Callithrix jacchus: one gene and its partner. The protein of the gene in region 2 binds, or shares a complex with, the protein of the main gene of each other region. Links are inferred from orthologs where the notes say so. Each region holds a gene or a part of one and is shown on either strand. Other genes may lie near its edges.

Region 1 (3,743 bases), on a different chromosome or scaffold from region 2:
CAGTAGTCCAGCAAGGTGGGCAGACTCCGAGCCCCCAGGTCCCTTGGGTCCGCCTGGGCGAGCCTGGGGCTCCGACCCTCGGTGGGCCAGTGACAACCCCTAGGGAGCGAAGCCTGGGCTGCCCACTGGTCCGCCCGCTCCCTCGCACCCATCCCTGGAGAGGCGGTGGCCTCAGCCTGGGGTGCTGGGTCCGACAGGACTGAGCGGCGGCGCGCTCGGGGGCGGGAGAAGCCCGGCGGGGCGCGCAGCTTCAACCGCGCGCAGCGCCCGGGCCCCTCCAGGGCTCGCCGCCCCGGCGGCTGCTGGCCTCTCCTCGCTCCCACCCGACTCGGCGGGACGCCCAGTGTTACCGCTGCCGTCCTCCGGCTCGCCGATCGCGGGGGCCGCCGCGCTTCCAAGCGTCCTGCGGCTCGGCCGAGCAGGCCCAGGGGTTGGCTCCCCGAGGAGGCCCAGCCAGCGCGACGGGGCCCGGGCGCCTGAGGGAAGCAGACAGAGGTCCTGGCGCCGCGCCGCGGCTGCACCACGCCCGCCCCGATCGCGTCCCCCACGGGTCCCCTCGCCCTCCCCGAGTTCCTTCCGCGCCCGCTCCGGGTCCCCTCCGCCCCCTCGGGTCCCCGCGCGCCCTCCGCATCCTCCTCCCGCGGGTCCCGCAAGCGCGCTCACCCACGCCGAGCATTCGAGGCAGCGCTGCCGAGGAAGGCGCCATGGCGGGGACGTGGACGGGACGGGGCCTCCCTCCGGGCCCGGCCGAGCGGCCTTCCCTCCCGCCACCGTCCGCGCGGGGCCGCAGCACCACCTGCAGGCCTGGAGGAGCCACGGCGCCGTCCCCGGGCCGCAGGGACCTCCCTGCGGGGCTGGCGAGGGGGCGGGGACGGAGGCGGGGGCGGGGCAGACGAGGGGCGGGGACGGAGGCGGAGGCGGGGGCGGAGCAGGCGACGGAGCAGGACCCGGGGTCCGGGGCTCTAGAGTCTCTGGCGGGGAGTGGGGCCACGTTCCTCGCCCTGCAGCTTGCCCCGCCCTGCTAATGTGCCGAGCCGGCCCGGGAGTCCCCTGACCCTTGGGGGCACCCGCTGAGCGATGGGGACCTTCGCCTCCCGCCACGTGAGCTGTGAACCACGTCTCGCGCAACCTCTGGCTCTCCAAAATTGTTTTTAATATTTAAACGATATTTGGCGTAGGAGAATCGCATAGAGTTAGCGAGATCTCGGGTTTCAATTTAGACTCGGGGTGCTGGGGGCGTGGCATCCCTGGAGGACACTGGACAGCGGACGTCCAATCGCTGCCTGCCGCGTGAACCGGCAGCGCTTAAACCCCGTCACCTGGCTGGCGGGGTGCTAGGCCCTGGGGTTCCTTTACCCCGGGAGCCCACGCCCCGATGCTGGGGTGCCCCGGTGCCCCCGCGGGCGGCTGGAGGCCTAGGGCTGCCCCACACGACGGTTCCAGCAGGGAATCCCTGGCCGTCCTGACCTTCCCGGTCCCTGGGGACTCGCCCTCCGAGGAGCCCGGTCCACGCGCTGCGCCTTTAAGGCCCCGCCGCTCGCGCCCCCGTCACGTGACCTGGCCGTCGCTAGGCAACAGGACGCGGCCTAGTCCCGCTTCCCGCCGGAGGCGCAATGGCCGAGGAAAGCCCCAGACCGTGCGGGGAGCCTGTGGAGCCCAAGGCCACGGCCCCGCCGGAGAGGACCAACGACTACTACCGAGTGAGCGCGGACCTGCCGGGCCGATTCAACAACCCGGGGTGGTTCCGGGGCTACAGGTGAGGAAGCCGGAGCGTGCCTGGGCCTGGCGTCCCCTGCTCCATATCCCTGTTTGAGAGGCCCCGCAAGACCCCCAAGATCCTAGCTACGGAAGTCAAGAGGAGCGAGTGGTCATCGGGGGCCCGCGCTGTCATCGCCCACCAGTGAGCTGAGGAAGTGCTCCCTAGAGCCTGATACAAGGAAAGGGTCAGGCGGGGTCAGGCGGGTTCAGGCGGGGTCAGGCGGTGCGGGGCCGCGGGGGGATGAGAAAGCCCAGCTGTGGTCTCAGCTCCGCGGTTTTGTGTCGGATGAGTCACCTCTCCTCTCTACCCTGAAACTCTGCTGCAGGGCATGAGCACAGCAGCACCTCCACTGTCTTGCTGCGGACTGTGAGCTGCCACAGGGCGCCGCAGACTAAGAAGTAGTAAGGAACTTTGAATTCCGACAGGCAGGTGCAGGCATCTGGCGGTGCCCCCGGGTTTGGTTTCTCAACAGTCCTCTAGGGCAGGGTTTGTTCGTATCCTCGTTCTCCCAGAGAGATGATGGGGATGTAGGAAGAATAGTTTGGACAAGATCTGGGGTTACAGTGGAGCTACTCTGTGTGCCTGCAACCTCTCAGTGGCCTGTCCCTGACAGGGGCAGTGGTACCAGTAGAAGCATGGCCTCAGCGAGGGTGGGGGCTCAGAGGCAGAGGGACCCTCTGGGTGGCAGGATCTGGAGGCCAAGCCTCCACTCCTGACAAGGTGACTAAGTTACCCAGAAATTGCAGCGTGTGCCAAGGCCCTGCCAGGGCTGGGGGTCAGCACTTGCTGGCTGCCTGCTCTTCAGGGCTTTGGCCTGCTTTGAAAGAGCAGGGACAGTTGTGAGCAGAGGGGGCCAGGGAAGCTGGGCCATCCAGGACCGTCAGCCAGGCACTCATGGAGGCTGCCTTTGAGGCTGCATCACCAGCCCAGCCAGGCACATGGCTCTTTCCCTGGGAGCATTTCCAGGGGAGTGCCGCCAACAAAATACAAGGCTGTGGCTTGGACAGAATTAGATTGAATGAATGAAAACAGTGTTTCTCATCCACCAGCACCCAGAAGGCTGTCTCAGTGTACAGGACCAGTAACCAGGCTTACGGGAGCAGAGCCCCCACCGTGCACGAGATGCCCGTAAGTGGGAAGCAAGACCGGGTGTTGGGGGGCCAGGGGGTGGGCAGCCTCAAAGAAGAGGCTAAAAACCTGGGGTTCTCAATAGGTCAACAGTGAGACGGGGAGGGGTACACCCAGGGAGGGGCCCAAAGTTCCAGCATGACAAATGGGGAGGAGGGAGGTTCCTCAACTTGTTTGGGAGAGGGTAGGGTGGAACTCAGCGAGTAAATACATTTGGGAGTGGAGTTTTTAAAAGAGGAGGAAAGTGCATATGGACGTGCTGACATCACTCTGTCCGCATACACCCACCACACGCACGGCAGTCACACATGCGTGCTGACATCACTCTGTCCCCATACACCCACCACAAGCATGGCAGTCACACATGCGTGCTGACATCACTCTGTCCCCATACACCCACCACACGCCAGGCAGTCACACATGCATGCTGACATCACTCTGTCCCCATACACCCACCAGACGCACAGCAGTCATACATATACCCAACCATCTCCTGCAGTTTATAGCAGTCAGTTTTGAGGCAAATCAATGAAGGGTTCCTTTCTTTCTGGTATTTTACTTTATGAGATGTTAACTTGTGACATTAAGAGGCAGTACAGGCTGATGGCATAGCCTGTGGGCAGGCAAGGCGCACTGGTGGGCACAGGAGCCTGTGGGCCTTTGGGGAAGCCAAATGCCTTTTGAGCTTGACCTCAGGCCCCCCTAGAATCTCCCGGAACCAAGCCTCCTGCAGGTCCAGGTGAATGGACAGAGGGACCTGGGAAAGTGGGACAGCCATTTTGGGGTGAGAATGTTGTGGGGCGTTTTTTTCTTTGTCAAAACATTCATCATTGAAAGGTCTGGTGAATGCTTATTT
Region 2 (3,743 bases):
GGCTGGATGCCATGTTCCAGGCAGTAGAGCTCCCAGCAGGCATTGCCAATCTGGACACCAGCCTGGCCAACATGGATGGAGATGCACTCACGCTGTAGGAAGGAAAAGTGAAAAAAATTGTATAATTAAGCTGTATTAGCATTTCAAACTTTGAGTACATTTCTAAAAATATTTCTAATAACATACAGGTATTTTTCAAAATTATTTGAGGTCATATCCCCAGCATGCTACAAAGATTAAGGAAAATTATCTGCTACAAATGCTGCATATGGTGTGGTCTGAATAACAATGTCGCCTTGGCCCTGTTCAGCACATGGTACCAGCCCATTGTTCTTACTACCTTGCTTGAATAGTAGAAGACTTTTCATATTTAAAAAGTATTCCGCATTCGAAGCACAAATTTTGTAAAATAAAGTAAATCCAATCATGACTTAATTGGGATTAATTGTACTGCTTTGTTTGCTTTTAAATAAAGATTAAAGTTTCTTCTGAATAGGACTTGATATTGTAACAGGGACATCTGTACTGCCGCTGAGGCAAGAAGCCACACCCTTCCGCAGTCTGTCTGCAGAATCCATCAATACCAAGGGTTTAGAAGCTAGACAAGGTCTGCCTTCTGCATTGCTGCATTGCTGTATTTGCAGTGCCTGGTGCTAGCCTGTACTGTCTGCTACATTATTTAACAGAGCAAGCTCTATTTCCAGCAACTGCCTACATGATCTCATTGTGCTGTTTTGCCAGTTTTCCTCCTCTGACCCAGCCCAGGACCATGTGCCTGAATTGAAATGAATTAATGAAGATTCACTAGAACAAAGGACAACGGGATACAGAATATAATCCTTCTTTGTCTATAGCAATTTCATCACTTTTCTTTTTTAAAAAAGGTTTTTCCAGATCTTCTCCATTGTAAAAGCTGAAAAATTATCTGTATCTTAAAAAAAAAAAATACAAAAAGGTTCCTAAGTTAGAAAGAAGCATCACATAAGCTACCAAAGAATAAAAGCCCAGTGGAAGGATAATGAAATATTTATTTAAAAAAACAAAATAGTATTTTCATCTTGAGATTCTTCACCTACCACATAATATTAATATTCTTTGCATCCAATAGAGGTTTTCTTCCTCTGTGGTCTTTAGGGCTACCACTTCCATTGTCTATTCACTGACGTGGTGGGGGCTGGCGGCGGGGAAGGGCGTTTCCTAGATCCTGACTATCAGGGTAACCCGGGAGCTCACAAAGTGGGCTTTCTCTCTCGCTGAACATGCAGCCCAGACACCCAGACACCCAGACACACACACACACACACACACACACACACACGCTCTCTCTCGCTCTCTCTGTCTGTCTCCAGTCGGTCAGGGCAGACGTTGAAGAGCTTGCCAAGTGAATTGTGATTTTGCTCAAGAAAAAAAAAAGTCATCTAACATATAATAGTGAAGAACCCTTTTGGAGCCTACAGTTTCGCAATAACGAAAGGCGTTTCTTAAAGTCTGCGACTGACAGAGGAGGTTCAGTGAGGGCGAACCCCGCCCCGTGGCTCCATCGCCCTAGAAGCCAGAAACAAACAACTCCGCCCCTGCGCCTCCCTGACACCCGCTGCCGGGGGCTCCGGCAGAAACTCACTGTATTTTCCCGGGAAAAAACGCCAACGACCGCGAGGGGTCTTCCCACGCTAACCCCAGGCTGCGCTTTGTTCCCGTCCCCGCTCCCGCATCCCCCAGCTCCACGGTCCCCGCTCTTTTTGGACACCTCCTCCTCTCGCGGTCCTCAGAGAACGACGCGAGACGGAAGAGGCCCCTCGGGGGCAACGAAACCGGGCGCACAGCCACGGGGCCCAGCCGGGACGCCCCAGACCCCTCGGTCGCGGCAGACAGGCTGGGGCTGTCCTCAGCCCCGAAAGGCTCTCGGACGACACAGGCGCCCAGGCGCCGCCTTTGTCCCTCCCCAGCGCTTGGCTGAGCCCTGGGCGCAGTCCTTGCCTGGATCCTGCACCCCCACTGCGGCGGTGGCGGCGGGGCTTGAGGACTTGGGGCAGACAAAGCTAAAGCACACGACGATCCTCGCCCAGACAGCTTACGAAAGAAAAGTGCTTAAAAGTTTTCCAAGTAGACCCTGGGGGCGCTGACTCCACCCAACCGCCACAAAGAGCGGAAGCCGATTCTCACCATGGTTGCTGCTTCGCGGCTGCCGAGCAGATGGCGGAGACGAGGAGAAGTTGTTGCTTCTTACAGCGCGACTCTTAGGCGGTCGATGTAAGAGAACCTGAGGCACATGGGCGGATGCGGCTCCCTATATACAACTCGGTCGCCATGGGGATGGGCTGGGGCCTTTTCCTGTTGGTCCAGACCCCCAATCTGCCCAGAGAAGTCATGACAGGAGACTGGTGATTGGTGCAAACGACGTGGGATGAGGTAATCTCTCCCCCACCCTTTTTTCTCTAGCATCCATAGACTGTTTGCATCCTTTAGACAAAGAGACCGTGCAGAAGCAGTCTGCCGAGCATCCATTATGGGGTGGGGTTGGGGAGGGGCGGAAGGAGAAGAAAGGGGACTGGGTTGGAAGACTTTATATTGCTTGAATCTCAAACTGCGGTTAAAATTATCTATATGAGGGTTTTTTTACCCTACACTTAATAACAGAATTTGTGTTCAGATGCAATATTTAGAGGAAAATTACTGCCAGCCCCTCCTCGTAGTATATTAGACTTGACTACATTTTGTTTTGTTAGGGTTCAGCGTCTCTAATTGCTTTAAAAATAAAGTGGGAGAGAAAATGGGCGTGATTGCTGAAAATGGCTTGGGTAAATGTGATTTTTTTTAATTTAAAAAAATATTTATTAATACAATCATTCAAAATGGTTTCTCAGGTTCAACTAATTTATTTTCAGACCTTCTTTTGCAGGCACACGCACACCCAAATAGCTAAACAAAACTGGAAGATGGGCAGAATAACCATACTAAATAAAGAAGCGAACACATAGTTCTAATATGGCACTAAACAATAGCTAGTGAACGCAGAGTAGTTATAATAGTTTATTAGAGGTATTCCTTTATGAGAAGTCTATGTAACACATTTTGTGTGGTACATTGTCCTTGGAATGCATCATCTTTCCTGATATAGAATTGGGAAAATACAAGGAGAAATAATTGAGTTCACAAGTTAGTCCTACATGTGTGCAGTTATATTTATGCATTGTACTTTTGTCTGAAAAGTAGCAAACAAAATAATAATTACCAAGAAACCAAATTTAAAAGAAGAGAATAACATAATGTAAAAAGCAGACCATTTTGCTATGTTGCCTCCATCCACAGACAACGGTGAAACATCAGCTCAATAACTGCATTTCCTTTTTATGTAGTTCTTATGTCAATTTGGTAAATATCCTCCTGCAGGTGGATTCTAACTGTGGGAATTTTAGCCAGCCTCACACCCTTGCTATTCAACTAGAGACTCTGGTGGTTGCTCAGTTGCCTCTTGGGACAAAAAGGCTTTGCTTTCACCCATAGGAAATAAATTGTAGTAACATTCTCTTGCTATTTAGAAAGGCTTCATTCTCAGCAATGATGTGCTATGCAGAATAAGTCACTGGACTTCGTACCACCAGATATTGGTGATGAAATTTCAGAGGTAAATAAATAAGTTTGGCCACAGAAGCTGAAATTACATTTGTATTTTGACAAATAATTTTTCGTTTTGGTTTTTAGTGACAGATTTTTGGGGTCTGCAGCACTACTCCCACAGTACT

Evidence for each region. Proteins that work in one complex are often made in the same cells at the same time.
Region 1: the proteins of tubulin alpha-1A chain (region 2) and PIERCE1 are in contact, whole or in part, in a cryo-EM structure (PDB 7UNG), measured with the Homo sapiens proteins. The link is inferred for Callithrix jacchus from reciprocal best matches to the Homo sapiens genes TUBA1A and PIERCE1. Residues at the interface, in NP_001257328.1 of Homo sapiens: Met1, Arg2, Gln15, Asn18, Ala19, Glu22, Cys25, Leu26, Glu27, His28, Gly29, Ile30, Gln31, Pro32, Asp33, Met36, Pro37, Asp39, Lys40, Asp46, Asp47, Ser48, Asn50, Glu77, Gly81, Thr82, Tyr83, Tyr224, Thr225, Asn228; in NP_001041730.1 of Homo sapiens: Tyr28, Pro35, Gly36, Arg37, Phe38, Trp43, Phe44, Arg45, Gly46, Tyr47, Arg48, Thr58, Ser59, Asn60, Gln61, Ala62, Tyr63, Gly64, Arg66, His71, Glu72, Pro74, Phe77, Tyr78, Pro79, Asn80, Ser81, Asn82, Lys83.

What each region holds. Positions count from the first base shown.
Region 1 is NC_133502.1:184,010,214-184,013,956, reverse strand, and holds the start of PIERCE1 (piercer of microtubule wall 1 protein), read left to right. Parts: upstream 1-1,583; 5' UTR 1,584-1,613; coding exon 1,614-1,756; intron 1,757-2,808; coding exon 2,809-2,887; intron 2,888-3,743. Other genes in the region: MRPS2 (small ribosomal subunit protein uS2m), read right to left, coding at 351-476, 664-706. UniProt on the Homo sapiens protein: Microtubule inner protein involved in the attachment of outer dynein arms (ODAs) to dynein-decorated doublet microtubules (DMTs) in cilia axoneme, which is required for motile cilia beating.
Region 2 is NC_133510.1:70,370,225-70,373,967, reverse strand, and holds the start of tubulin alpha-1A chain, read right to left. Parts: upstream 2,262-3,743; 5' UTR 2,167-2,261; coding exon 2,164-2,166; intron 93-2,163; coding exon 1-92. UniProt on the Homo sapiens protein: Tubulin is the major constituent of microtubules, a cylinder consisting of laterally associated linear protofilaments composed of alpha- and beta-tubulin heterodimers.